3 linked regions of the Callithrix jacchus genome follow. The protein of the gene in region 3 purifies or fractionates together with the protein of the main gene of each other region. This does not show direct contact. Links are inferred from orthologs where the notes say so. Each region holds a gene or a part of one and is shown on either strand. Other genes may lie near its edges. The genes, in order: SMURF1, SMAD7 and TGFBR1.

Region 1 (10,023 bases), on a different chromosome or scaffold from region 3:
GCGGGTCTCAGCCTCCAACCCCTTTTTATTCATGCTGGGCCCCTGGCAGCAAATCCATAGGCGGAGGTCATGATGGAAAAGAGGCAGGTGCCCTGATGACCTCCTTTGAGCCAGCAATTCAGACGGAATATTCTGTCTTCACAGTGTGTCTGTATGTCTATCAGCATTTACAGTCCAGCTAAATTTCAGTACGGTGACACCCTTCACCTCACTCCTTCCAGCAGCATCCCCCCCAAGCCGTTAAGTGTAAAAGATGACCTGCAGGGAGATCGGCACCTCCGCCACTGAATTCCGCCCCCCACTTCCAGCAACCTGAGTGGCTTACGCAGAGGGAGCATCACGGCACCTTTCGGTGTGTTGTGGCTAAGTAGGGGTTCATGTGCAGCGTCAAGCTTCGGAGCCACTGAGACTGGGGTGGTTCCCCCACAGCTCCTTATCCAGGGTCTTGGCTAAGCTGGGCTCACAGAGTTGGAAAGTGCAAGGCCTCCCAAACACTTCAAAGACCCCTGCTGGCCAGACCCTCTTGGCTTTTTGGAAGCAGTGAAGAGGGGGAACCCCCGTGCCCGAGAGTGGCTCTGCAGTCTTTGCTTACACACGGCCCCTGCCAGGTGGCCACCTCTGCAGCGCAGAGCATTCATTACTGGAGAACACTCCTTATGCTGTGTTCTAGCACACATCTCGGAAAAACATCCCAGCCACCTTCACTCTTCCTGCCCACAGCCCGCAGAGACGTATATCAAATAGCCCCGCCTCCCCATCAGTCACCTTGCAAAGCCTTGAAGCCTTGGAGCGGGACTCGCGTGGACCCAGTCACAAACTGCAACAGCCTGGCCCTCCTTTCTTCATCAAACGTCTCCACCGCTTGCCAGAACCACCGGACGATGTTGCTGTCAGCCACACAGTGCTTTAGCCGCGTGTTCGACTTCCAGTCGTTCAGGTCTATTTTATCCAGGCCGCCTATGATCAGCTGAGGAGGTGCCGAAAGATGAGTTACTCCCAAAATGTATAAACCCACGTCAGGACACGCCTCCGAGGTACCCAACACACACACAAGTGAAAAGTCGGTTCCCAAACAAAGCAGCGGCTGTGTCCAAAGAAAAACTAGACAGTAGTTGAGACAGGAAGAAAGCAACGAACAGGAGACCTGTGGGACATGCCTCCCTCTGCCTCCTCCAACCCCAAGACCACGGTGCACAGCTACTGATGGGGCATCATCTTATAACCAAAGCAGGGTTTCTGCTCTGCATCGGTGAGGAGTGAGTCTCAAAGAACCACCCAGTTCACTGAACAGAGCTAACCATGAGTAAGAGCATGTCCCGGGGTCTCTCCAGGACACTCAAGGACATGTGGAGTTTCAAGTCTGAAGAAAGGAGAATTCAGCAAGAGTTACGTGGGGCTAGGGTAGATGGGACGCGTTTCTGCAACTTGCTTAAAAGTACCCCCTGCTGGGTGCAGTGGCTCACGCCACTATATTCCCAGCACTTTGTAGGGGCTGAAGTTGGGTGGATCGCTTGAGCCCAGGAGTTCAAGGCCAGCTTGGGCAACATGGCAAAACCCTTTCTCTACAACAAATACAAAAATTAGCCAAGCATGGTGACATGCACCTATAGCCTCAGCTACTCAGGGGACTGCAGTGGTAGGATCGCTTCAGCCTGGGAGGTCAAGGCTACAGTGACCCATGATTGCACCACTGCACTCCAGCCTGGGCAACAGAGCAAGACTCTGTCTTTAAAAAAAAAAAAAAAAAGACACAAAAGTTCACCCCAGAACTACTGCCCCATCCAAGCTCTTGGCTCCCAGGCTCTCCTCACTGGCAGTAGAAAGACTCGGAGAACAATCTACAAGGCTTGAGCTGTTTCGCACCAGAGATGGTAAGGGATGAATGAGTCACTATGTTCAAGCGCGTGAGTAGGACTGGAGAGACAGTATCCCCTTGTTCTTAGTCTAGTAACAGCCCGAATAAAAGGCAGTAAGTTGTGGGAGAACCAGGTTCTCCCAGGAAAGGAGAGGGCCGCGTGATCTCCCTGCTAGAGATCCTGAAAACGAGAGAAGCCACAACCACCTTGAACAGCGTCCCGGGAATTATTCAGATTTCCAACCACCATGCAGACATCTCACTGGTTACCAACTGACGTAAACACCCTCTACTCCCCACTGTTGCTCCAGCTGACTGTTCTGGGAACCCCAACAGCTCCTGGGCTTTCTAGAAAACAGTGCATGCCACACCCTGCATCAAGGATTTAAAACAGGCAGACGATGCCAGCCACAGGGGGAGCCCCTGAGCGCCCTGGGTGGACTCCACACAGCAGGCACGTACCTCCAGTTCCTTCTGGTCAAAAGGCTTCAGCAAGTGTTGAGGGATGAGTTCATTGAACCCCTTCTGCAGAGCTAAGAACTGGGCTTCAATTCCTCTCATAAACCTCCAGTTTACATACAACCTGGAAGAAAAACTCACAAGTTGGATGCAACACCAAGTGGATTTTCCTCCATAGGCAGGTTTTGTTTTGGTTTGAGACAGGGTCTCACTTCGCCCAGGCTGGAGTACAGTGGTGCAATCCTGGCTCACTGCAACCTCTGCCTCCTGGGTTTAAGCAGTTCTTCTACCTCAGCCTACCTAGTAGCTGGGCTTACAGGCATCTGCCATTATGCCTGGCTAATTTTTGTATTTTTAGTAGAAATGGGGTTTCACCATGTTGGCCAGGCTGGTCTCGAGCTCCTGACCTCAGGTGATCTGCCTGCCTTGGCCTCCCAAAGTGCTGAGATTACAGGCATGAGTCACCACACCCAGCCCATGAGCAGGTTCTGATATCACAGTCTGACAAACATGGGAACATATTGGGGGCCCCCTCTAGATCTCCCCACCAAGACACAAAATCCCCACCAGCTAGTAGTGCCAAAACCTTGGCATCACGTTAAAAATGACTCAGCACGTGCCCTGATTCATTCTGGTTCGCTACTGAAAACAGCAGGATTGCACCTGACTTGTCACATCAATTGCTGTAATTTGAAAGCACGTTCTGGCCAGGCATGGTGGCTCACACCTTGGGAGGCCAAAGCAAGAGGATCGCTTTAGGCCAGGGGTCCGAGACCAGCCTGGCAGCACAGCAAGACCCTGTATCAAATGTTAAACATTTAATAATGTTTATAAGTGCATTTGAAAGGACAGCTCAGGACGACTGGGCACACAGCCACGCCCACGCACTTCTCAGCGCCAGTGCCTAGGCCTGAACATGGATTTGCCTCAACTCAGAGGTGGAAAAGACTGACAGGGTGGCTTCCTCGGACTGACCACAAGACCCTCCAAGCAGCTGCTCTCTCCTTGGCCCCCCTACTTTGCACCCAGAATTAGGTGGTCACTTGAAAGTCCTTCCCCACGTGGGCTCTGTCCCTCAGGCAGGCCTGGCCCCATCAGGACCCCTCCAAGCAGATCCCTGACGTGGCTGCTGAGCTGTCAGTTTCTGAAAGTCACTTCTGTTCCTATGATTTGATCACAAGTGCCAGCCATCAGGGACACGCAGGCCTCACACGGCGAATGAGCCACAGCAACTAAATGCAAACTCATCCGTGCCCCAGGTACTGGCTGTGCCCCCCAGATGACTTACCTGACATATTCTTTCTTGTTCTCCTCTGTGACAGGCACGTTTCTGCCATTAGGTTTCAGTTCATGCTGAAGAATCCGCCCGAAGGCATTGTGTTCCACGCAGAAGGTGTGGTCCAGCACCGGTGTGATGTCATTCTCTCTGTTGAAGACAGAAGGTGACGTCAGTTAGAGTTCAGCCACCATGTGCCAATGAAAGGAACATCAAGTAGGGCCATCGGGTAGACAGAGAGATGGCGTTTAGGACTCCCAGACCCAGGCTGCAAGAGAGGACAGCCGCAGGCGGACACGAAACCCATATGGGGGCGGCACCGCAAATGGTGCTGGAGGACCCGGAGACCACAGTTCTGGTTCCAGATGTCCCCGACTCCTGGCTTCCTCACTCACAGAAGGCGGGCAGCACTGAAGGCAGGAAATTGACCTGGAGATGAAGCCACACCAAGAAAATACGAGTCCCGCCTTAGAGCCAGCCTTTCCAAACACATCAGTTCAAATGCAAAAGCACTTAAAAGTGAAAATTAGCTCCTGAATCTGCCATAGGCAGATTGGAAGTTTTGTTGTTGTTGGTTTTTTTTTGAGACAGAGACTCACTTTGTCATCCAGGCTGGAGTGCAGTGGTGCAATCTCAACTCACTGCAACCCCTGCTTCCTGGGTTCAAGAAGTTCTCCTGCCTCAGCCTTTTAGGAGCTGGGACTACAGGCACATGTCACACCTGGCTTTGTTTGTGTGTTTTTAGTAGACACGGGGTTTCACCATGTTGGCCAGGCTGGTCTCGAACTCCTGATCTCAAGTGAAGTGCTTAATAACAGGCAATGAGCCAACATACTGAGTGGAAGATTTTCTACCCGGTCCCTGGGGTCCCCTCTTCACGTTGGAACATGGGACATACAACTAGGAGGCCCCCACTCCCACTCATCCACATTCCTTCTGTCTGCCAGAGCAGAGCCTGATCTTTCATCCCCACGAAATCCACAAGACCTGTGACACAGTTCATCTTGTCATTGCCTGCTGCCCTTAACAGAATGTCTAGAATAATTCTAAAGCAGAGGTACCTAAATGTTCAATTTGTTTTGATATGGGCTTGGCTCCTGTGAGGTTAACTGGAGACTCCCGTGAGTGTCACACACACCCCGAGCCTGGGGAGTAGTCTGTTAAAGTTCGTGATCTTACCTTCATAATTCAAGGAAATGAAAGAATCTAGTCCCTGAAGAGAAGCCGGCCCAACATCACAAGGAAAATAAGGCAACTGAGTTTTTTGTTTTTTTTCTTTGGCTAGATCTGGTGGGGTGGTTTTTTTTTTGTATTTATTGTAGTAGTAGGGTCTCAGGACGTTGCCCAGGCCCAGTCTCAAACTCCTGGGCTCAAGCAATCTGCCCACTCTGGCCTCCCAAAGAACCTTCTTTTTTGTTTCAGGTTATTTAATACAATGGCTTCTTTGTGTCTCTTCTTCAATTTCACACCCATCCCCAAAATACACAAACGCACACGCATGCATGCAGACAACAGAGGTGGTGGCATGTCCCACGCCAGGTAACCGTGCACCATCAGTCAATACTTACAGGATCCACACCAGGCTCTTATGCAGCTCCGGGTCCACGGATTCCAGATCCGAGAGCTGGATGGGCTTTCCCAGGAGCTGCTTATAGAAGGGCACTGTGAAGCCCCCATTGATGTAGTGCCCATGAAACACGGCCAGCCCCATGATCCGCCCCACAAAGTGGAAGTAAGACAAGTGGTCCTGTAGGGGGCACCAGAAAACACAAATTCATCAGCACAACGCTGGTCAATGTGGGAGTCTTCTTGGGAAGAGTGTCCCAGAGGCAACTCAGGAACTCACAGGCCGGGCTCATGAGCAAGTGAAAGAAGGCTGCTTGTGTAGCTGAATTTGCATAGAGTCACTGGACAATTTCAGGGCCAATACCTCCTCAGACTATATAACTTGCAGAGGAGCCCAGTCCAGTGCAAAATGAAAATGCAGAGCCCATGTTCAGCAACGACTGAGCATTTCACCTTGTGACAACAGAATCAAACCAAGCATGGGGCCTTGACACTGCAGGGCCGCGGCATCCTGCAGGACGCACGCCCAGGAAGCCAGCCCTGCATTCCCTCCCACTGCACAAGAAAGACAAGGGCAAGCCCCCTTCTTCCACCACCCCTCCCTTGATCCAGAATGAAAGGAATGAGGGAGGGAAGAAATTCTAAGAAGGGGGAACAAAAAGACCACAGGAAAATATGTATGAATAAGCCAAGTAAAATAAACAATTCTAGGCTGGGCGTGGTTGCCCGTGCCTGTAATCCCAGCACTTTGGGAGGCTGAGGCAGGCAGATCACCTGACATCAGGAGGTTGAAACCAGCCTGGCCAACATGGTAAAGCCCCATCTCCACTAAAAATACAAAAACTAGCTGGGTACAGTGGCACAAGCCTGTAATCCAAGCTACTCGGGAGGTTGAGGCGGGAGAATTGCTTGAACCTGGAAGGCGGAGGTTGCAGTGAACTGAGATCACATCACTGCACTCCAGCCTGATTAACAGAGCAAGACTACGTCTCAAAAAAAAAAACCATTCTAGAACCAGAGCCGTCTGGTTTTTAACTCAGGAACCATACGCCTCTGCTTTCAGGTTTGAATTATGTTCATCTCAGAAAATGAGTGAAAACTCTGCTTCCATGTTGGTAAAAGGTTCTTCCACATTTGAATGCACAGGGGAGCCTGTCCCAACTTCGCCTCAGTGGCCTGAGCAGGACGCTGGTGAAGGCCGTGCCACAGGAGGAGTCTGCCCCTGGCCGGTGGCCCACCCTCAGGCGGAGTGTGCAAACACCACGCTGACTTCCTCATCTCTAAAACAAGCACGCTAAGGGTGGCATTTGTGGCTTAAGCCAGTTCTGGAAAGATTCCAGTTGTGACTAGGAGGAGACTGGACTTCAGCATCCACTCCTTAGAATGCCACCATTAACAAATACAGTCATCACACCAGAGTTTCCTCAGTGACCATGAAGTGTCCTGAGTATATGAACAGCTCGATCTCCCTCTTCATCTCCTTCAACACAACATGCCCAGTGATCACAATCTCTGAAAATACAGGACCAAAATCCATCTTAATCCAGTTTCCACTTTACCTTTCCATGTTTTGCTTACCACCGCCTTTAAGTCTACATGAATAAACCAAGAACGGAGAATGAAACTGAAACTCCATCTCAAAAATTCTCCAACCCAGTTTCCCCTTTGTTCATTCATACTTACGGGGTTGATTGAAGAATCTGGATTTATTTGCAACATGTAAATATTGTCTGTGGAATACTGGAAGAGCCCATAATATGGATTCAGCATTTCATGGCACAACAAATAAAGCCATTCCCTAGGAAAAAACATTCATTCATTTTATATGTGCTAAAATTTCTAGATTTTTTTTTCTGAGACAGTCTCACTCTGTCACCAGGTTTGGAGTGCAGTGGCGCGATCTCGGCTCACTGTAACCTCTGCCTTCCAGGTACAGGCGTGTGCCACCAGGCCTGGCTAACTTCTGTATTTTCATAGAGACAGGGTTTTACCATGTTGGCCAGGGTGGTCTCAAACTCCTGACCTCAAATGATCCACCCACTTTGGCCTCCCAAAATGCTGGGATTACAGGTGTAAGCCATCACACCAGGCCCGAGTTATTATTTTCTGAATTTTTTAAATGTTTTCATCGTTTTATTATTTTTTTAACTCCAAAGTTCAAAACAGTTAAGCAAAAAAAAAGAAAAAGAAAGCATTTTAAATAGAGATTGTATGATTCAGTGGCTACACTCAGGTTGCGATAAGCCCAGCTAGCAGGGGAACTCTTAGACAAACACCTGTGGCAGATACGCAAACAATCTTTTATTCATTCTACTCAAAACGCCTTTTCAATGGATCACATTAAGATAGCAGCTCCAAATTTTATTTGGACTTTTCAAACAGAAATGAGAGAGCACAGGGAAGGATAAGCACAAATGCAGATAATCTGTCCAAGAAAATTGCTAGAATACACAAAAAATATTAAATGAAAACAGTTCTGTATTGCACTCAGAAGAACAGAAAGGAACTGCCAGAAGAGATGAGACTCCGATTACTACAAAGCAACACTGCTGAATTTTCATTCCAAAGTTTGGAGTTTAGATTTGAGAAGAACCTTTTTTGAAAAAGACAAAGACCTGCAATTGTCTAGAGAGGAAGTGATTACAATACAAGCAAACGCCATGGACGAGGTAGATACAATCAGCTCTGCTCTGGAAGTGGTAAGGGAAGCAATAACTAAAGGCAAGAGAGAGCGGCTACAGGAAGGACTGCGGACTAAACACTGGGGAAATGAGTGTAGCCTGGCTCTCACAGATCAGATAATGAATCCACACCTGCACATGTGTAATCCACATGCAACTGACTTCTCTCCACCCTCTCTGAGATAGGCATGATCCCATTTAGATGGGAGGAAGACTCCAGTGGTGAAATAACACTACAAGACCAAGCTGGAGGTGGCAAAGCAGGGATTCTCAACTCTTTCTACTCCAGCATCATGCCGTTCAAGGGGACGTCACAAAGACCTATCTCCACACAGAAGACTGGACAACTAAGGAAAATGCAGAAGGAAGGTAACTCCTACCAAACCAAACCAGGGAGTCTGATGGCTAAGTCACAAGCATTTCAGAACGACCAAAGCAAGGAAATGTGCAAAGAAATTAACAAAAAGTAAAATTCATTCATCTGGTACATATATACAGAGGTAAGTGTTTGCTATGTGTTAGGTGCTGTTCTAAGAACTGGGGATCAGCTGTGAACAAGACAGGGTTCCCGACTGCATGCAGTTTGAGTCTCTCGGAAGATGCAGACGAGAAACATCACACACCTGTGCAGTGCACTTTGGGAGGACAAGATGGGAGGATGGCTTGACCCCAGGAGTTTGAGACCAGCCTGGGCAACATAGTGAGACCTCATCTCTACAAAAAAACTTATAAAAGTAGCCAGGCATGGTGGTGCACACATGTAGTTCCAGCTACTTGGGAGGCTGAGGTGGGAGGCTTGCTTGAGCCTAGGAGGTCGAGGCTGCAGTGAGCTATGATTGTGCCACTGTATCCAGCCTGGGCGACAGAGCAAGACCCTGTCTCATAGAAAAAAAAAAAAAAAATGACAAAACCACCCACAATTGTCTTGAAGGTGAAAAGAGGCAGGACATGAAATAGCAGCTTTTCATCATTCTATTCTGTTTTTTATATCAATTTCTTGAATTATTTTGACCAAAATTTCAACATTTTATCTTGCAAAATTCCTTTAACACAAATGTAATTTACATGCAATTTACATGCACAGATGCAATCCCTGTGGAGAGGAAAGCAAGGCTGCCTCCTGTGCTAATTCAGGAACATGTCCCTTAAGTTTCAGATGAAGAGAGTGAGTTTAAAAGTTTAATTCCAGCTTTACAGGAAGTCAGTCAGTGGTGACAATCAGGGCTATTCTGGTGGGTTATGGCAAGAGGCTGGCACAAGCTCTGAATTCTTATTCTCAGCAGGGTGGCTGAAGCCAGCGCACGATGGCCTGACTGCTCCAAGGATACATCGGCCCTGCCCAGGAGTGCTTGGTGATGAGCACTAGAGAAGGGCAAGTGACTTCTCTTGAAAAAACTGTTAGAACTATGCTGAAATCCACGCAGCAGAGAAGGTGAATGAATTCGCAACTCACCTCGCCACTCCACCGTAATCCAAACCTTCTTCCCCACGGAATTTCACCATGAGCCGTTTTTTCAAATCTTTCGGTCTCATCTTCATTATCTGGCGGTAAGACTCCTGAACATTAAAATTACAGTTTCAGAGAGAAGAATGGTTCTTATTCTTAAAGTTATAAAGGTTATTGATAACGGAACCTGGTTAAGAATAAGTATTCATTCCAATTCAAGCTTTATCTGGCTCCTAATTAGAATGTTTCTTTGGCATCTAGTCTATTCCATCATCTTTCTTCTCAGTTTCTCCCTTTGAGACACCAACAAAACAACGCCAGGAAACGCTAACCTGAAGGGAAACACGTGTCTGTTTTCAGTGAATCACCGAGGACTTAGACAAATCTCACTAGAGTTGATTTTTCTGTATCAGTTAATATCAGTGCACACTCTAAACAACTTAGGCATTGCAAACAAAATCAAGACATTGGGAAGTCTGAATGCTAAGAGAGTTCTGACTGTTTTTATATCTAAAATGAAAAATCACATTTGATTTCCCACTGAGTCAAAAAGCAAAAAAGATTTCAATTTTTAAGTAAGACATAAGGTGGCTTAAGCACTGCACAGAGCACATGTGATCAACCTGCTATTTCCTCTGACTCAGCACCTTAAGTAGAAGCTGCTGCATGTTTGTAGATACGTTCAGTGACAAGGCACTGAAGAATTTTTCAGCTTTAGATTTAACGAAATTCAAACTCC
Region 2 (10,123 bases), on a different chromosome or scaffold from region 3:
GGCTCTGCTGGTTAAACCACAGCACTTAGGTGTCTCAAGTCCAGACCTCCCCGAGGCTGGGTGGAGTGGCTTCCTTCAACTACAGCAAAATGGAGCTTCCAGCTTTGAGGCCTCTGCATCTCCAAAGGGTGCAGGGGTACCAGGACCCAGCCCCATTCCCATCACCTTTTTCCAAGATGGAGACTTCACAGGACGTATTCCTTTAATTGTGCAACTGGTTAAGATTTTAACAGCTGTCCACTGTAAAACTTTGTGCCTGTTTCACCTAGTAACCCAAGACCAAAAATTCAACCTAGAACTTAGAAACTGAAGAATGTAAATGGTCCATCTAGATTCCTGGGCCAAACATTATCCCACACGCCAGATAGGGATGAAAACCTGGGTCAGCGCCCATCTGTGGTCTGACCTCAATGCCCCTGGCCACAGCAGCTGGCAAAACCAGCCTCAGACCTGTGGGAGGGGGGTGTGTTCCACCCCCAGACCTGGCGGTCCTCCAATGAGGCCGGACAATTCCCCTCCAGGGGGCTTTGTCTATTATTGATGCTAAATTCTTACACAACGGCGCCTTTTCTCATTTCTTTTTTTGTTCTATTTTCAACAAAACATTTTGGGTGAGTAACCAGCTGTCTTAGTGTCCGATCGACAGGTTAATCACTTCCTATTGGCTGATCTGGAGAACTTTTCTCCCCCTTGGAAATGGCACATTCCTGTCTCTGTGGCTTCTCTGTTTACACACATTTTGCTACCTAATGTCAACACTTGCTAATGAATAAATAGATCACTCCACTCGCCCGAAAATGAGGTCCGGGCCTGGCAGAAGGACTGCTTACATCCTGAGAACAGATTTATCCCAGTGTCTTTGCAGGAAACCAAAGGGAACATGGCCTTTCTTTTCTATGCGTTTTGGAGGTTTCTGGGAACATTTACCCCCACTGGTCTTTACCCCTGGGGCTAAGGTCACTGTTCTCTCTCTTTTAAGGAAAACCTCCAAATTTGAAAAATATGGAAGGAAAAACAAAAACAGGTCAGAGGTGGCCCCTTGGAAAACTAACTTAATAAAAAGAATTCTTAACTCTTTCAGCCAAAACCCAATCAAGTTACAGTCTTTAGGAAAACAGAGCTTGGTAATTCCAGTGAACCTCTGTTACAAATACAGAGAGCTGGGTATCTCCTCATTAATAACCATTTATCTGGTGTTTTGTAAATCGAAAGCAAAATATCACATGCTTTGTGGGCCACTTATTAGAACGGGCACCAGGCAAGCAGGAACGCCTTCCCAACTTGAGGGAGCTGGTGGAGTCCCAGGAGGGTTGGCTGCAGAGTATGGGCTTCGGTTACACGTTCATTAAAGTATTTAATTTATGACAACGCCCCAGCAAAACTTTTAATTAGTGGGGGGAAAAGCCCAACAGCCAAAACACATGAGGCGGAAGGAACTGCAGAATTCCAGGAGCTAAATGGTGCCCAACCCTTCACTTTTCCTTCTCCCAGAACCTTGGCAAAATAAAAATGTCCCAAGTATTAATGTTTTTACAGGCACCAGTATACAGGGCACAAAAACCAAGGTTACATACAGCCTGTACTTTTAGCAAATAGATCTATCTCCTACTGTAAGAAGGAGTGCCAGGAATTGGGGCTCATCCTTGTTGTCGCCCCCAAGTTCATTTTGCTGACCCTGTCCCCAGCACCGTGAGGTCCGGAGGAGGAACACCTGTGCTGCTGCTGCCAGAAGTTGAATGCAGACAACCACAACAGGGCTGGTGCCAGTCTCAAATGGGCTGCCCTGGCTCCATGCCAGCCAGTGACAAAGCAACAGACAGGCAGAGCTATGCTCAAAATTTTGATGGTCCCTACGGAGCATACTGAGAAATCCCCGGGAGAGGGTGACTTGCAAGTGACTGGGGCAGGGGGAACCCACTCTTCTTTAACTGGCTGTAGCCTCTACTGAAATGTTCTAGTGTCTACTCCAGACCAAAGTATTCTTTGCACCTTTTAAAAATGTCTTCCCATCCATCTAATCACCCTTTCCAGATGCTCCGGCACTCACGAAGTCTCCAAGCTTTCCCCACCAACCAGTCCTATTTGGTTCCCAAAATACTTCTTTCTGAACTAAAAGCATCCACGTGTTAAAGCCGAGTCCCCCAGCCACAGAGTGCAAATACATGAAAAAGGAACAAAACGTAAAGCATATCAAGAAAAGGTCTTTGCAAAGAAAAAACAAAACAAAAAGCCAGTCACAACAGGAAAATTCACCAAACTTCCAACAGAGGAAACCTAGAACCGACCTGAAGCAAGCCTAGCGCCTTCCTTCCCAGGCCTTTGCCTACACGTAGAAGCCCAGGTTCTACAGGCTCTATTTCTAACTTCGATCCGAAGGGTTTTTTAAAAATCAGCTACTCACCAGTTGGTTTGAGAAAATCCATCGGGTATCTGGAGTAAGGAGGAGGGGGAGACTCTGAAATTAAAAAAGCAAGAGAAAAATAAAGGCCCAGCCATGAGAAAAAGAGATAGAAACTTATGATAACAGAGGCATTCTTTTAGCCCAACTGTTTGTCTTAGCTGTGGGGGTTGGAGGCAGGGCCGCAAGGCGGTGATTGCCTTGATATTTAGCTGTCAGATAAACAAAAGAGGCCGCCTGGCGCCAGCCTCGGCTCTCCGCTCCTCCACGTCTGCGGCCGCCGCCGCCGCGCTCGGCTGGCCCGGCTGGAAACCACCGGCTCAGCCGGGGCCGCGCACTTCACAGTTCACAGGGCGGGGGGCGACCGTGCCCCCTCCTCGTCCGCAGACTCCAGCCCCAGTTCCCAACAACACCGGCTCCCCGCCCCAGCCCGGCCCCCAGGGGTGCAATTCACCTCTGCCCCCGCTGGTCCTCTGGGCACCCGCGCGGGGGACACGGGGGCTCCCCATTCCCAGCGCACTAGGGAGATGCATCCCAAGCGTGCTGGTGAACTTGGGGGATCTGCGGACACCCGGGGTGAACCCTCACAACACACTCCGTGTACAGAAATACAGAGCAAAGGAAGGAACGGACAAAGCAGAGAGGATAAAAGCGAAGGAGTTTCAGGATCTCAGCCGAGAAGTCCAGGCCCCAGCGCAATAAGCGGAGACAACGTCACCGAGGCGCCGGGGGCCGACTATCTATAGACTTCTCTGTGCGGAAGAAAGGAAAAAGTAGGGGACACCCAACTTCTCCTGGCTGTTTGTTCCTCAGCACCCTGGAACTGGCAGAGTTGAAAGGAGATACCCAGTTCGGCCTTCCATCCTAACCCTCTTTGCCCCAAAAGTCCAAGGCTGCACGGCCACAGTAGTATCTGAGCCACTTGTGTTCGAGTGATTCTCCGTATTTACTAAAGGAGCGGAGTCCTTCCAGCCTTTACAGCTCGCTTCTCCCAACCTTCCTTGGCGGGCTTGGACCAAATCCAACTCGGCCACACACCTTAACGCCTTTCCGGGTGCGGGGAGGCGTGACCCCCACCTCCCTCTGCACCCCCTTGTTGATCCGGAAATGAAGGCGTCTAATTTTTAACCGCACGTCTGGTACACTGTGTGCAGGAGCAGTGCCCACAGACCCTTTCGGGGCAACACAGGAGAAAACCTGACAGGGAACCCCCAGGGAATGCCCTTTGAGTTTCCTCGTGTCCCTTCTCTACTTTCCCCACCAAGTCTCCTCCCAGGAGGGGCTGTACACTCCCCCTGAAGGGGTGGCGGCACACGCACTGCCCTAGGGGCTTTTCTTCCAGCACTGGCGCGCTGGAAAATATTGGGGGTGGCCGGGCAACTTCTTACCTAGTTCGCAGAGTCGGCTAAGGTGATGGGGGTTGCAGCACACCAGCTCGGGGTTGATCTTCCCGTAAGATTCACAGCAACACAGCCTCTTGACTTCCGAGGAATGCCTGAGATCCGGCCACCTGAACACTTTGCACAGCAGGAGGGGGAGCGAGTAGGACGAGGGCGGCTGCGCAGGCTGCGCGCTGGCGGGCGCCCCCGGGCCCAGCCTGCAGTCCAGTCGGCCAGGCAGCAGGAGGCACGCGGTGCGCGTCCCGCCGCGGGACTCCACGGCCTGGAGCAGCAACTCCAGCTGCCGCTCCTTCAGTTTCTTGAGCACCGAGTGCGTGAGCGCCTTCAGATCAGCCTCTGCGCCCCCGGCCGCGCCGGCGCCCGCGGCTGGGGGGTGGGGATGGTGGTGACCTTTGGCACCTCGGACCGCCTTGCCCAGGCAGCATCCAGCCCTGCCCGCGCCACCGCCACCAGCCCCATGAGCTCGACTGTCCGTCGCCCCTTCTCCCCGCAGCTCGCCTCCTCCTCCGCCTCCCCCCGCGCCCTCCTCCTCGTCCTCGCCGCCGGGCGCACGGCTCCTCCAGAGACGCCGGACGAGCGCAGATCGTTTGGTCCTGAACATGCGGGGCGAGGAGGCGAGGAGAAAAGTCGTTTGCCGGCTAAGGAGCGAACATGACCTCCGCACACCATGAAGAAGTCGGGCGCCGAGTTGGGGCAGCAGGCGCAGGCGACAGCAGCAGCAGCAGGGGCCCGGGCAGTAGCGGCGGCGGCCCGAGGGGCGCTCCGTGGCATGCGCCAGTCTCCCGGAGGCCGGGGCGCGCGCGGGGGCCCGGGGGCGCCCGCCGGGGATCGGGGGCCTGCGCTCCGGCTGCCCCACCCCGCGCGGCCCGCGCCCTGCGCGGCTCTCGGGCCCCGGCGCGCCCCGGAGGAACCCGGCCGCCGCTTCCCTGGGGACGGCCGAGCCTGCCCCCGTCGGCGCCTCCCCAAAAACAGCCCCCCCCGCAGTGGCTCCCGAATGTCGGACTCGCCAGCCTCGGCTTCCTACATGGAAGATCCGCGGGGGCAAAAAACGAAAGGCGTTCGGCTGGGCTGCTGGAAGAAGGAAAAAGCCTCTTTCCCCCTTGCTAAGCAACTTAATTTGGGGGTGGGGAGAAGCAGGCAATTAAAAAAAAAAAAAAGCAAGCACGCGATTTATTTTTTTCCTCTATATCCTTAGTAACCGGATCTCCTCGAATTTCGTGCACACGAAGGCTGAGGGGAGGGGGCCGAGTGGACTTCACCCCGCATGAGACGTCTGGCGAAATAAGAAGGTTCTCTCAAAACCTAACAACCAAAATATGCAAAGCCCCAAATGAAAAACACCACCTCCTCGAACCTTGGAGGTCTGGGGGCGTCCGGCTGGAGCTGGGGCTTAAAAAAAAAATGTTTACGAAGTATAACAAGATGTTTGGGGGGTGGGAAAACGCATCCACGAGTTACAACCCCCCTTTTTTCCTTGCAGAGCCCCGCTGGTCTTCCTCTCCTTTTCTTCTGCCAAAAACAAAAAAAAAATCGTGTATTTTTTTAATCCACAGAAAGCTTTGACTAGACCGATTCAATCCTGCGCATCTGGGTGGTTTAGGGGAGTCTCTGGTCTTCCCTCCTGCGCGCCTGGGGGCTCAGGTCCTCAGCGGGGACTTCCTCGAGGCTGGCGGGGGCGCAGGGACAGAAGATGCTGCGGCGGCGGCTGAGCCCGGTGGGGCTGACAGCACAGGGGAGGGCGGCGCGGCGGCGGCGGCGGGCCCCAGGCGGGTAGCGCGTTCTTGCCCCCCTGGGCACAAGCTGCTTGCTAATGCGGGGGCCGCCGGTGTCCCTTCCCCTGGCCGCGGTTGGTCGCCGGGGCTCCCCGCGTGGGCTGCTCGCCTCGACCCAGCTGCGGCGGCAGGAGGCCCCGGTGTTCTCTCGGCGCCTCCTCCTCCGAGACTCTCCTCGTCGCGCCCGGGAGCCTCCTTGTCCCCCGTCCGCCCTCTCCTGGCGCTCGGGTCCTTCTGCCGCCGCCAAGGGCTCGCCGCGCCGCACTCAGGGGCTCTGGGGCCCGGCGCTCGGCGGCTCGGCGCCGACGGGCTGGCTCTGTCTCGGGCAGCTCTCTCCCGCGCGGCGAGCGGACCGAGCACGGCGCCCGGCTGGCTCGGCTGGCGCGGCTTGGGGACAGGCTCTTCCGTGCGCCGAGCAGCAAGCGAGTGTGCCCGGGGCTCGCCGCCTCCCGCAAGGCCTCCCGCCCCCGCCCCCTTCCCTCCCCCTTCCTCCCTCTTCCCTCCCCCGCCCCCAGCCGCCGCCGCCGCCGCCTCCTCCTCCCCCCCGCCCCCCCGCCCCCCCCTCCGGCCCTCTGCTCGGCTGGTTCCACTGCGCAGTGGCGCGCCCGGCTCCGGCCTCGTCACGTGGCCGTCTAGACACCCTGTCGCTTTAAAAAAAAAAAAAAAAACGATTGTGTTTCGCAAACAACAGATCGGGTTTCTAAAAGCTATTTCGTCCCCAACCCCCCGCCACCGCCACCCCCTCCCGGGTCTGTAGACGGGGTACCGATGGAGAGGAGAGAGAGGTGGGGGGCCGAGAAGCTCCCAGAATCTACTGAGCTCCGGCCGGAGCCATGGAGAAATTGGAAACGCAGGGAGCACCGAGCGGGCTTCGCCGCGAGTTTTGGAGCTGAGCGAGCGGGTCGGTGGCCGGATTTCGACCTGGCGGGGCTTCGCGGTGGCCATCTCGCGCGCGCTCGCCCAAGCGCTTCATTCATTGGTTTTGTTTTAAAGGCCCTGGCGGCGGATCCCTTGGCTGCGTCGGAGGGCAAGGGGAGGAGAGCGCTGTCTCGGTTTAAAAGACATTTATACCGGACTGGACCGAGGCCCTGGGAAGTGTGCGCTGGAGGGAACAGCCGCCGAGGGCGGGGAGGCAGCGCGATTATGACCTCAGAGGCGGCCGCGCGCTCCCTCCCGCCCTCTCCTCTCCCGGCTCCGGTTTCTAGGACTGCCTGGAGAAGTGTGTCTTGTGCACAGCTCTGGAATGCATTTGGCCGGCTGACGAGCTGCGAGGGGCAGCATCCTGGCGGGAGAAGCGGGGCGGGAGAAGGGGAGCGGGAGGGGGGCTCTCCTGCGCGCCAGCGGCAGGTTTCTCCCTGGGCCCGGAAGACCTCCGCCACCCGCCACCCTGCCTCCCGGCGCGGGAAGGTTACCCAGCGAGCAGACCTGCCTAGGGCATTTATTTGCTTGGAGGGCCTGTTTCTGGGCCTCGTAGCTTTCAAGATGCTTAGGGTCAGAGAGTTTATTCCTTGACCCCAGGTCTCTAAGAAACATATACCCAAGCTGGCGGGTTACTGCATAGAAACGGGCATGGCATTGCTAGGGCATGAACGCGTTTGCAGCGTGAAAGCTGATAGTTCTGAGAAACGTAATGATTTAAATACACATCAGTATTGATGAGACCACTAGTTCGCATGGTGATCTAACCTCACCTCATATTCTGTAAAATACGATTTTTTTAAAAAGCCATTGAGAATTGTGAGATCAGGCCAGCAATGAAACTCATGGGGGTTTTCAAGAATTTTTTTTTTTTTTTTAAAGAGTCTCACTCTGTTACCCAGGCTAGAGTGCAGTGGCTCTGTCTCGGCTCACTGCAGCCTCCGCCTCCCGGGATCAAACGATTCTCCCACCTCAGCCTCCGCAGAGGCTGGGACTACAGGTACGCGCCACCACACCCGGCTAATTTTTGTATTTTTTGGTAGCAAAGGGGTTTCTCCATGTTGGTCAGGCTGGTCTCCAACTCCTGACCTCAGGTGATGCACCTGCTTCGACCTCCCAAAGTGATGGGATTACCTGCGTGAACCACCACACCCCGCCCCCCTCCAGCAATTAAAAAGATTTTTAACATAGTAACAATTAGTACTTAATAAATATTTAGAAATCAACATTAAGGGCTTAAGGGTCATTTGGACCCTTCTTCCACCCCACCAAATAAATCAGCAACATTGCTTACATGATCATCCCCAGGCAAGGAGATCCTGACACTGACTTGGAAGATAGCATGCCAAGCAGTGCCGAAATCTGCTGGACAGCACAGAAGCTGCCGTTCTGAACATTTACTGTGTAAGGCCACATAAGTCGCAATTGTATAACATCATAATTTTGTTGTAAATTAAAATATGGCTTGTTGAAAAGGGCATGGAAACCTTATGTGTGTATATAAAACATTCTAAGAAGCACCCTGTAAAGACAACAGCCAAGAAATCGCAGGAGAGAATGGAGAAGGGGGTGATCCTATGGCTATATAGATAAGGGAAGATGGAAGAGACAGAAATGGGATTTTTAAAGTGTCTGGGAAATGCATCATATTTTCACCTTGGAAAGGCTTAGAAAGAGTACCAGACTAGAGGTAGAAAACCTGATACCAGGCTGGGGCGTTGCCACTCACTGGTTAAGCAACTTGGGCCAACAGTGATCCCACGTTAGGCCAGCACTTGGCAGCATTTATGAGGTTTTCTGGGTAAGTTTCCTGCCCTTTAGGGTCTCATTCCTTCTCTGTTCTGGGTCTCCCTAAAAGATCTTCACTTTTTGAGAGTGGTCAGACCAGGCTTCATCGAAACAGGAAGGACTTAAATAAGCAGAGAAAGCAGAGGTCATAATTCTAATTAAGCTTCTTGGCTAAATGGAGAATCTGAAGAATCTTTTGGAGATCTGGCCAGCAGTGCTAAGGCTCTGTAATGAGAAACCAGAGCACACACAGGGCAGGTAGGTTTCCTGGGTGTTTCAGGAGTGGAGTCTGACATCACAGTTTGTCTGGGTGGAACATGCATGTACTTGCAGAGCTATGTTCCCATATAGTGTAATTGTAGGTGTATTAATTCAGGTGTCACCCCTCTCTACATGGCTTTCCTCTTCCATTTTGCTACCCTAGGTCGAAGGTGGGTGGGGTGCTGAGCAAGTAGCTAAATGATTGGTGCTGCTTTATAGCTCTCTGGCATCCCGTGAATCAGTGAACATCCCAACCTTCCTGATAGCCCCACCCGTCACATTCTTATCCCTCTCCATTCCAAGAAAGAAGCTGAAAGCCTGGCAGTAGAGGGACTCCAGGCTGGCTGGTGTGCCTAGAAAGGGAGTTTCTTTCTTTTCCTTCCACAGGCACAAAGGAGGCCAACAAATACACAGTTTCAGACTATTCTGACCCTTCAGAAAAAAAGTTTAGGAGTTCACCAAACTATTGTGAATGAGTTTGATTCTAATCATTTGCTGGCAGGGAATATGGAATAAAATATCTCATTTGCAGTTGTTTATTTCCTGTTGCGGCTTCTATTTTCATCTTTTAGTCGCTTTGGTGATAGTAATCAAACCCTAATCACGGTGTTGCCACAAGTCACAGAGACCAAAATAACTTGCAGCAGAGTTATGACAAACAAGGATGGAATCAGCTAAAGACCTGGCTACTTAATCACTGGCCCCTGCCGCCCAGAGGACTGTGCGGCCGCCTCTTGACCAGCCGCTAGTTAGGCATCCAGAGGAGAGAGGAAGTCAAGGGAACTGCTCCAAGGCCCATGGTCTCTGAGCGGCCAGGGGACTCCAGAATGCACCAGGAAGGAGAGCAGCAGAGTGGACCGAAAGTGGCCAAAAAAGCAGGTGAATTCTCCAAACCTTCCAAGGTGAGAGGCGGGCTGCTGGAGGGGCCTGACTTGAGAGAGAAGGAGAAAGGGGAAAAAAATCTCCAAAACTCTTGACACCTCAAAACAATGATACGTAAAAGCTGAAAAGCACCTGTCTACAGAAGAGAGGAGTCTACCTTTCAGTTATTTGCTCATTTTCAGTAGTTTCCAGAAGAGAAGGGCAGAGAGAGGCCCCAGTGCATGTATGGATGTGTGTTGATGGGCGTGAGGACAGGGGTAGAGATATTTTTTCTTGCACAAGCCAAAAGAAGAAACAATTGGCTGGATGCAGTGGCGCATGTCTGTAGTCCCAGCTACTCGGGAGGCTGAGGTGGGAGGATCACTTGAGCCCAGGAGTTCCGGGCTGTAGTGCGCTATGCAGATCGGGTGTCCATACTAAGTTCGGCATCAGTATGGTGACATCCCGGAAGCAGGGGACCACCAGGTTGCCTAAGGAGGGATGAACCGGCCCAGGTCGGAAACGGAGCAGGTCAAAACTCCCGTGCTGATCAGTAGTGGTATCGCGCCTGTGAATAGCCACTGCACTCCAGCCTGGGCAATATAGCGAGACCCTGTCTCTATAAAAAAGAAAAATATATAAAGTAAAAAATAAAAAAATTTAAAAAAGAAGAAACAATTGAAGAGGCCAAAAAAGTATTGGAAAACATCAACATTTCTTGCACA
Region 3 (10,123 bases):
TCATTCCTTGAGGGAGCAGCTTTAGAAAAGGCTTGATCTGATCTATAAAATTTGGACCATAAAACCAAATAGACTTAGTCCACTAGTATTTAAGAAAGTGAAGTCTGAGGTGAATAATTCCAAGCCTACCAATCTTCTTCATGATGAAGAAGGGTAGCCACAAGAAACCTACCTGGAAAGCAAACAAAACACCTAAAATTGGATCTAATTCAGAGAAGCAAACAATTTTAATGTTTATGGAGACTGCCTGGATTTAACGTTCAGAAAATTCAGTTAAGAATGGCATTAAATATTATCCTAAGTATTGGAGTTAGGCTGGGTCAAAACAGACCATACATTTTGAGAAGACTCCAAAAATTTCCTCAGCTTAGTTCTACGGGACAAAGCATTACAAAAATCCCTGAGAAACATGCCAGCATCTGCCCTCAGTTCCAGAAGCAGGAAGCAAAGATGTGACCCAATCACATGATATCAAACCACAGTCCATCTCTTCAGAACTCTATTATGTAAGCCATGACCAAGGAAGAAGAGCAAAAGGCAAGAGGTTTGTCAACATTCGCAAGGGGCTCTGTGGTTTGAAGAGACATATTTTCATATCAAAAGGGCCATCCACAGGATAACAGCATTTTCAAAACTCAATTCATTACACATGAACATATTTGATACAATAAAATGATACTATAAGAATGGTGCTGAGTCCTTGTAACTCTTCAACTAAGGCCTAGAACCTTTCCTTGTGGGGAAGACCCCTGTTGAAAGATAAAGAACAAGATTTATCTTCCTCTTGATCATTTTTATCATGTCAATTCCTCACTGAATTCCAATAACAAAGCAGATCATCTATTATTCTAAACCAAGGCCTTTTAATTACACCCAATTCAATTAACAGTACTTATCCAAGACTACCTTCCAAACTACTATAGGCCTATGTTTCTCAGTCAGTATTATACCAGGTCCTTTTATCAGCAATTAAAAAAAAAGAATCCTGACCTTTCCCTTGAGGACTTTTAGCCTTTAATCACTCCCCTTCCCTTCTACCTTTAGAATTCACTTTTCATAAATTGTGTGAAGTGCAAGGCCTATTTCACTTAGGTAAGTCACTCCATTAACCTCGTCCCACGCCCACCTCCATGTCCTTCACATTTTAAAGCAGAATATAGGGCACAAGATTTGGAATCAGAAAATCAAAGTTCCTGTCTCTGTTCTGCCCTTTGTCACCCTAAGAAATTCACCTAATCTGAGTTTTTTCATCTGTAAATTGAAGTGACAATATACTTAGGACTTTCACCAGCTGAATGCCTAGCCCTAGTGGGCATCCTATAATGTTATTCTCTCTCATTTACTCCACTTTGATTACTTTTATGCTTTGTTTCCAGCCATGTACTATAGCCTTTAGGATTGGGGGGAAAAATGATAGAGGTTAATACATCCAAATCCCACAGTAAAGAATAAGGAACCTAACTTTGAAGAGTAACTTGCCAGTCAGTAAAAGCTTTGTTTCCTCCCTTGGAGTGGGGGCCCCAGTACAGTTGGAGACACACTTTTAGAGAACTTTCATACTCATCAAATCCCCCTCTGAATTGTACCCACCCTTCAAAGTCAGCTTAAGTCCTAAACTGTCCAGAAAGCCTCCCCCAATCACTCCAGCCTACACTAATCATCTCCCTTTTTGAATACTAATGCCTCCCTACAGGGATGACATTAAAAATATTTAACAACTGGCACTACAAGGGTACCAACCAACCAGAAAGGATGTTTAACCAAAAAACACATGGCCCAGTGGGAACTGCTTGTTGAATATCAGTCCTGATCATTAGTAACAATACAGAATAGCAACCTCAAACTCAAATACCACTTTCTCATGTGATCTTCACAATCTCATGAATTAGGCAAAAGCAGGTATTGCCCCTATTTTCTGCATAACTGGTGGTGAAGGTGGGACTAATAACCACTTGCCTTCACCACACCACACAATATTTCCTGATTATTTATACAGAATTATAAGTTAATATTGCATAAACTGGACTTAGATAAAACAGTATAAATACTAAAGGAATGCTCAAATAGAAATCAACAAGCATCTATGTGGAATAGAATATAAAACACAGTGCTAAGTTCTGAGGCCATAAAGCAAAGAAATGGCATGAATCTCGTCCTCTAGGTATCTACAACATATTCAAGTGTAGTTAAATTGCAGTGCAGACAGTAGAAATGGACAACACAAACTGTAAGTGTTGCAGAGTTCTGGAAGACAAAGAATTCAAGAACTAAACCAGTACAGGAAGTCAGGACTGAGAACTTCTTACACTCCCAAAAAAGGGGCAAAATTAAATGTGTAGTGAAAAGCTGAACAGTCAGGAGTCAGTGAGAAATAGAAATTGCTTGAAGGTCTGCAGTAATGAGAAGTGAGATTCCTGGTAGGATACTCAGAGATGGCCCCAATCATAAGCTGCTGAAGTGTTTCTCTAAGTGCTGAATACAAATGGGAAATCATATAAACCTTTATGGGGATGGCTGAGGAAGATTAGTTTGGCAGTAGCCCATAGAAAAGCTTAGAAGAGAGAAACATGGGAAAGCAACTAGATTTGGAGGATAACAGGCAGGATTAAGCTGAAGGCTGCATACCAAGAAAGGAGGAGACATTCAAGAGGCATTAATAGAAACAAGAGTTGGATTTAGAGCATGTTTCCAAAGAAAAAATGTTATGAAATGGCAGAAAGGAAGCAAACAGCATTCTCACAAGGGATATTCATATAGACACAGTGGTACTAAACCGTGTACTAGCGACAAGGAATCAATTTTCCTAGAGAAATCTATGTTGGGGAGAGAAGTTGGGCAGAGAACAATAAAACATACTCAGAAAATAAGAAACTGCACTCTTTTTAAAAGGGAAGTAAAATTACAGAGAGAAAAAAAAGCATTTGACCTTTTTCAGAATGTTATTTTAAGGGTGGACTGAGACATCATCATAACCAATAAGAAAGGCAGAGAAGCTGAGGCAGTCTGGGCTTAGAGTAATATGCACCTGGACAGCTTTGTACTGTGTACATGCCACAGAGACTGTAAACTCCCCCAGGACATGGACTGAGCAATGTTCTGTGTATCCAACTAAGTCCACCTACTGTTACTTGAATACATGAACACTTCCTGTGCTACTTCTGGTGGAAAAGAGGGCACTATGTTATTCAAGTTAATAGTGGTGTGGAAATGTTACCTATGTTTCCCCCTAACTATATTGATTCTCCCAATCTGTCCACACAGTTATCTTGCCTTCCTCCCTAGGCCAATGTCAAAAATCCATTGTTTCCTCTAATGCAGGCCCACGTGAAGGGACTCAGGAATGTGCTAAGAGTCAGAATGAAGCCTATCTGACATTCATATCATGAGGACAGAATCTAAAAGTGAATAATAAAGACCAGTTGCTCATCAGATGAAGAAAAATGGGCTATGCCAGGTAGTATGATGTATACATGTTTGCGTGTGTATATACATATTTATATATATATGTGTGTACAGGTTTTGGAAACTGAGATCTGAGTGAAAATTCTAGCTTTAGCACTTAGTGACTGCATACTTAAGCAGACCCAGGGGTCTGCACCCCACTTTTCAAATCTTTAAAGTGGGGCAAATGCCACAAGTCCTGAGAGTTTGGTTGTGGTGATTAAATAATGTACGTATCCAATAGTGTACTTTATGCATTTACATCATAGTAATGCATAATACATAGACGGAGGCTATTAGGACTAATTATAATCATCATCTTCAGTCTTGATTTTTAAAAGAATTTTCAACATTTTTGTACAGTTTCAGAAACAGAAATGTAATTTCACTGCATTTTAGTTGCTAAGACTGAGGCTCTGATTTTAGTTTCTACTGTCTTAATTCAGCTGCTAACAAAGTTTTCCACTCATCACTTTGTGGATGCCAACCACCTACCCCGACCTGATTTAATACTTGGAAAAACTCAGCGAACATTCTTCCTTGAAAACCAGCTACCAGATGTATCATTCAAACTATTAACTGTCACTCAAGAAAAGGAACATCGCAAGTGATGTTCCTTCTAGGAAATAAAAGCGTTGAATCAATTCACAGTCATTCCCCAAATTTCCAAACCCTGTAGAGTGAGCAAACGTTCAAGTTTCCACTACGAAAACAATCCGTAGCCTTCTGGTTACTGGACTCACTTCAACACTCCTCAGGCGCACGAAAGAAGGAATACTCCGCGCATCTCCACGCTTCCTTCTTCTCACACAAAGCCCCCTTGGCTGAAGGAGCAGACCCTTCCAGCAGGGTCGGGCCGGGCGGGAGTCAGGGCAGCTTGCAGACCCGGGGGTCTCACCACATGTCGACCCCCGACTCCCACCCCGGGAAGCCCTCGCGGCTCGGAGCTCACACCCCGCCCGGGAGCCGCCTTCCCCCCAACCCCAAAACCCGCCCGGGACCCCAAGACCACGCCGTTCCCTGGGGGGCGGCGGCGGTCGGCAGCCACCGCTCTGCCAGTCCCCGCCCGTCTCGCATCCTCCGCCCCTGGCCCTAACCCACGCACACCCCACAGGGCAGCCCCGGCCCTCGGACGACTCCGTCCGACTCCACCTCCCCGGGGGAGTCCCGAGCCGGACGGCCTCAGGCTGCCCGGCACGTTCACCCGTGCCCGGACACACGCCCCTGCCCCGCCTCCGCTCCCCGCTTGCGGTTCGCCCGGCTGCCACCGAGCCGCTCGGGGCCACGAGAGCCCGGTTGGGGCCACGAGAGCCCGGTCCGGGCCCCGGCGCTGCCACCTGCGCCCCCGGCCCCGCGCCATGTTTGAGAAAGAGCAGTAGCGAGCCGGAGGCCGGGCCCGGCCCGCGCGCCCCGCAGTCGCCCGCCCGCCCGCCGCGCCGCGCTGCCGCTCACCCGTCGCCCCCGGGAGCAGCAGCGCCGCCGCCGCCGCTGCCGCCGCCAGCACAAGGAGGAGCAGTCGGGGACGCGGAGCAGCGGCCGCCGCCTCCATGGTCCCGCCGCCACCGCCTGTGGCCCGGCCCGGCCCGGCCGCCGCCTCACCCCAGCAAACCTCGCCTCGCCCCACCTCCCCCGCCGCCGCGGCGGCCCCGCTTCGGCCCTTTGTAACTGCTCGGGGGACGTGCGTCCATTGGCTGCCGGGCTCCCGCCGGCCCCGCCTCCCCGCCGCCGCGAGCGGCCGAGCGGGACCCAGCCACGAGCCCCGCCCGCGGGCCCACCGGGCAGCCAATCCGGAGCCGCGCGCCCCGGCCTCTGGCCACGCCCCACGCTCCCCGGGGGACGGGCCGCCAGACCCCTGCCCCGGCCAGAGCTGCTCCCGGCTCCGCGAGGCGGTGTGGGGGCGGGATCGGCCAGACCCAGCGCCGCCGAGCCGCTAGCCCCGGAGGGCCGGGTAGAGCGAAGGGTGTGTCTGTGTGAGTCGCTTTCGGGAAAAGGCTGTGGCCGCTCGACTCTCTTTTCTTCTAACCTCCTCTAGGCGCGGAAGATCTCGTACTGCTTCAGCCCCACGCTGACCCCATTCACTGCTCCGCACCGGCAATCCCTGCATAGGCCACTCAGATCCGCTGCAGCGCCAGGCCCTGCATGCACTTCAACTTCCCCTCTCCAAGTCCACGCATCAACTTCAGCATTCCCCCGAAGATCTTTCCTCCGCGCCCTTCACATGCGACTCAGTCTCCTGTTTCCTCATGCTTGGAGCGGTCATCCCGAACCTAGCTCCCCCACCCAATTCCAAACCTAGGAAGTCCTCAGATCCCAGCCTCAGACCCAGATCCTGACCCCAAACACACCCCCAAATAGCCTCCCGCCTCACTCCGGAACAGGCACAGGATGGGGATCCAAGCCGCTCTCGCCTCATCCCCCTTCCTGATCCAGGTTGGAAAGGGAGGGTCCCCACCCCAACCCCTCAAAGGAGGGGTTCCCCCTTCTTAGAACCCAGCTCCCGCGGGGTGGAGGGGGAGCAGTCATTACTTTGAGCTGTGTCTGACACTCCTGTATAATAATCCTGAGGTGTCACTAAAAACCCAAATAAACTACGTTTTCATTCCGAATTCCTAATTTACTGCGAGACGCTCCACCCACCTTTCCTCCGCGACGCCAAAATGAGCTCCAGATTTGTAATTCTTCCTGTCAGACTAGTCCTTTCTTCAGACACAAACACAGCCAAGGAGGCTGTTACGTAGAACAGAGAATATTTTCCCTCAGAACCTTTTAAGGAGAAAGTTTTATTTCCTGTGTCATTTGAGCTTGGAATTAAATAAACCTTGATAGCAGGAATCAGAACCAGCCTCTAATGTCAACTTGTGCACTACTTCAGAGTCACTGGGTGAGCATTTTCCCCACCTGTGAAGGTTTCCTTCCTGGAGATGAAAAGGGAAAGGACGTGGATATTGGAGCTGGGATCTGAGACCTGCGTGCTTTCTCCCTCCTGGCTGGGACACTACTTCGGCAAAGTCAGCTAACCTTTCAGAGTCTCCAGCAGGCTCAGAGGCCTGCAACTTGCTCTAGACTGCAGCGCCAGCAGCCTCAGCAGCGAACTCCCCTCTTGTTCAGACTGAAGGATTCCAGAAAGACGGTTTCTGGCAGGCTCCAGTCCCAATTTGCCCTCTCGGTTCCAGTTTCTTCAATGGAGACTTGGTGGGCTTTGTGCCAAGAGGTCTCTAGATTGCCTTTTTGCTGCTCTATTTGCAATGTCTTGCATAAGATAAGAGCTAATGAGATTTTGATTGTGTGAATGAATGAATGATCTCAAAGTGACTGTTTTTCTTTGGCCTTTAGCTTCCTCATCTCTAAAATGTAAATAATAATAGTACCTACCCCGTTTATAAATGAAAGGGATTGAATCACTTGTCTTGGGCTCCTTAGATGATGTAATGTGTCTGGTACAGTGTCTGGAACATAGTAAATATTTAGTTAATGCCATTTCTTTGCCCATCCCCTTCCAGCTCCGTATGATTCTAATCAGCATGTGTGTTCATGTTAGTCTGTGCCCTTGACGTACAGAGCCTAGATTAATCAGTGTTAATCACACCTCCAGTTCCTTAACATTTTCCATGGAATTGAGTAGATTCAACAGAAAGGAAAAACAGACCGGTTTTTAAATTTTAACATCCTGATACTAGGAGGAAATTTCCATGAACAACAGATCCATAAATAAACTACACTAGAATGGAACACTAAATTAATAGTTTAAAATCATGGTTCCCAAATTGTAAAGTGTCTCCAAATTACCTGGAGAGCTTTTAATAATGCAGATTCTTGGGTCTCACTGGGTCTTAGCAATTCTGCTTCAGTTCTTCTGGAGAAGGTTCAGGAATCTGCATTTGTAATAGACATCATAGTTAATTCTGTTGCAGGTGGCACTAGGCCAGCTTCAAAAGACTGGTATACTTAAAATTCAGTAAATAAAAATGCATGACCTTATTTGCCTTTTGAGAAAGGTTGGATGGGCAGTGGAAAGAAGCCGCTGGCTTTGGAGGCCTGCAGACCCTACTTGAAATTCTGGCTCTGCCACTCAGTAGCTGTGGGTCTGTGAACACTATTTGATCACTCTTGAGATTTAGCATCTCCAGGGTAAAGGGAGATATTGTTGTGAGGTCTAAATGAGCTATTGCACATAAGGAATCTATCATAAGTGTTAATTCCTTTCAGTCTTTACAGACTTACTTGTTGTTTAAAAGGCTTCCCTGTTATCTACTACAATGTCTTGATTATCTTGATTTAAAGATGGAGAAACTTAGATCAGTTCCCCAGCAAGTCAGCTGCAGAGCTAGTACTAGGAGTCTCACTCCAGTGCCTTGTACCCTATGTAATGTTGTCTCTTAATCTTTATGCCAAGGACATTGTTTGCATTTCCTTTTGGATTATTCTCTTATGTAAGATGTTTTTGCCAAAATAGACAGCAGAGACTGCTAGTCATCTAAACTATACCCATTCCTACATTTGCTTTATAATAGAGTCCTGATTTTCTCTGGGAAAGCAGTTCACCTAGAAAAAAATATGTATGAATTTGCCAGGCTCCTTGTACCTAGTATTCCCAGTGAAATGGAAATAGAAGTCTACTTTCCACAAGGTGGAGCCTGTACATATTTCCCAGTTAAAAAAGGAAAGAGATTCATCATATTCTCTCTGCCTGGAACATGGTTGCAATGCTTGGCGGTACAGCAGCCACTTTGTAAACATAAGGGTGATAGCCAAAACTGAGGACTGTAGAGAGAAAACCTGGAGAGAGTCTAAGTTTTTGATAAATTTCCTGAACAGCTGCACCAGCTCTATAATGCTTATTTCTTATTATATGAGAAAAATAAACCTCTTTTTTTTTTTTTTTTTTTGAGGCAGAGTTTCACTCTTGTTGCCCAGCCTGGAGTGCAATGGTGTGATCTCAGCTCAATGCAACCTCCACTTCCTGGGGTCAAGCAATTCTCCTGCCTCAGTCTCCCAAGTAGCTGGGATTACAGGCATGCACCACCACCCTCAGCTAGTTTTGTACTTTTAGTAGAGATGGGATTTCTCCATGTTGGTCAGGCTGGTCTCGAACTCCTGATGACCTCAAGTGATCCTCCCGCCTTACAGGCATGAGCCACTGTGCCTGGCCAATAAATCTCTTTTTTATTCACCTTAGAACATTTCAATTCTACTCATTTGCCCATCCTATTTGTTGTTGCATATTTTATTTCTGTCTTATTTTCTAACCTACAAGATATTATTGACTTATACCATTATTAGCTATTGCCAATTCTTGGTGCTCCTAACTGAATAACAAATCACCTCAAAATTTAGTGGCATAGAATGATAACCATGGATCATTTTTCATGAGACTGTAGGTAGGCTGGAGAGTTTTTCAGGTTTATGCCAATTTATGCTGATTTCAGCTGAGCTCACCTGTGAGTCAGCCATCAGGTGGAAGGGGGTGGAAGAGGGTAATGAGCTAGATCAGCTCCTCCATGTTGTTTTCCACCCTCCAGCAGGCTAGCCTAAGCTTGTTAACATGACAGTTCAGAGGTCCAAGATAATGAATGAAAGTGTGCAGGACCCCGGAGTCGTAGGTTTAGAACTGTAATGGACCAGGCATGGTGGCCCATGCTTGTAATCTCAGCACTTTGGGAGGCCAAGGTGGGTGATGGCTTGAGCCCAAGAGTTTGAGGCCAGCCTGGGTAACATGGCAAAACTTCTCATCTACAAAAAAATGCAAAAATTACCCGGGTGTGGTGGCTCATGCCTGCAGTCCCAGCTACTTGGGAAGCTGAGAGTTTGGAGGATCGCTTGAGACCAGGAAGTCAAAGCTGCAGTGAGCCATGATCGCACCACTGCACTCCAGCCTGGGTGACAGAGTGAAACCCTGTCACCAAAAAAAAAAAAAAAAACCACTGGCGCATCACTTCTACCACATCCCATTGGTTTGGCCATGAACTGCGGCTGAGCCCAGATTCAAAGGGTAGGGGAAAAGACTCAATTTTTTTAATATATAAAGGAAATGCAAAATCACATTACAAAGAGGCAAGGATATCAAGAGAAAAATAAGCGTGTACATTTTTACAAACACTTTTTAACCACTTTCTCTTATCTCCATTTCTTTTTACCTCTCATACTTTCTACCTCAAATTACTGGTACTGTTATTCTTCCTGAAGTGTAGCTTTTAAAATTTCTTTTAGCAAGAGTCTACCAGTAGCAAATAATCTTAGTTGTTGTTTGACTGAAAATGTTTTTATGAACAATGTTTTTGCTGAAAATAGCATTCTAGGTTGATAATTGTTTTCTCTCAAAAATTGAACGTATCATTTCACTGTCCTTCCATTGTTTATGTGAAATTAGATAGGAGTGTAATGGTTTTTCCTTTGTAAGTAATCTGTCTTTTCTGGTTTTTTTTTTATAGACTTCATTTTTTTAGAGCAGTTTTAGCTTCACAGCAAAATTGAAGTGAAATTACATAGAGTTCTCATCTATTCCCTGACCTCACCCACACCCACAGCCTCTCCCACTGTCCACATCTCCTACCAGAGTGGTACATTTGTTACAATCAATGAACCTACACTGTCACATCATTACCACCCAAAGTCAATAGTTCACTTTTGGATTCACTCTTGTTGTCTGTGGGCTTTGACGAACATACAGTGACAGTATGATGCA

Evidence for each region.
Region 1: the proteins of TGFBR1 (region 3) and SMURF1 purify together in Homo sapiens (affinity purification with western blotting; 3 studies listed by BioGRID). This does not show direct contact. The link is inferred for Callithrix jacchus from reciprocal best matches to the Homo sapiens genes TGFBR1 and SMURF1.
Region 2: the proteins of TGFBR1 (region 3) and SMAD7 purify together in Homo sapiens (affinity purification with western blotting; 19 studies listed by BioGRID). This does not show direct contact. The link is inferred for Callithrix jacchus from reciprocal best matches to the Homo sapiens genes TGFBR1 and SMAD7.

Annotation. Positions count from the first base shown.
Region 1 is NC_133503.1:14,558,285-14,568,307, reverse strand, and holds part of SMURF1 (E3 ubiquitin-protein ligase SMURF1), read right to left. Parts: intron 9,395-10,023; coding exon 9,291-9,394; exon of another isoform or gene 9,118-9,290; intron 8,338-9,117; exon of another isoform or gene 6,955-8,337; coding exon 6,840-6,954; exon of another isoform or gene 6,790-6,839; intron 5,338-6,789; coding exon 5,159-5,337; intron 4,651-5,158; exon of another isoform or gene 3,741-4,650; coding exon 3,603-3,740; intron 2,439-3,602; coding exon 2,318-2,438; intron 968-2,317; coding exon 766-967; intron 1-765. UniProt on the Homo sapiens protein: E3 ubiquitin-protein ligase that acts as a negative regulator of BMP signaling pathway. Mediates ubiquitination and degradation of SMAD1 and SMAD5, 2 receptor-regulated SMADs specific for the BMP pathway.
Region 2 is NC_133514.1:92,051,863-92,061,985, forward strand, and holds the start of SMAD7 (mothers against decapentaplegic homolog 7), read right to left. Parts: upstream 4,737-10,123; 5' UTR 4,400-4,736; coding exon 3,787-4,399; intron 3,392-3,786; exon of another isoform or gene 2,932-3,391; coding exon of another isoform or gene 2,853-2,931; intron 2,456-2,852; coding exon 2,402-2,455; intron 1-2,401. Other genes in the region: uncharacterized protein LOC118146891, read right to left, coding at 5,436-6,217, 6,337-6,547. UniProt on the Homo sapiens protein: Antagonist of signaling by TGF-beta (transforming growth factor) type 1 receptor superfamily members; has been shown to inhibit TGF-beta (Transforming growth factor) and activin signaling by associating with their receptors thus preventing SMAD2 access.
Region 3 is NC_133502.1:147,218,803-147,228,925, reverse strand, and holds the start of TGFBR1 (TGF-beta receptor type-1), read right to left. Parts: upstream 5,079-10,123; 5' UTR 4,991-5,078; coding exon 4,894-4,990; intron 1-4,893. UniProt on the Homo sapiens protein: Transmembrane serine/threonine kinase forming with the TGF-beta type II serine/threonine kinase receptor, TGFBR2, the non-promiscuous receptor for the TGF-beta cytokines TGFB1, TGFB2 and TGFB3.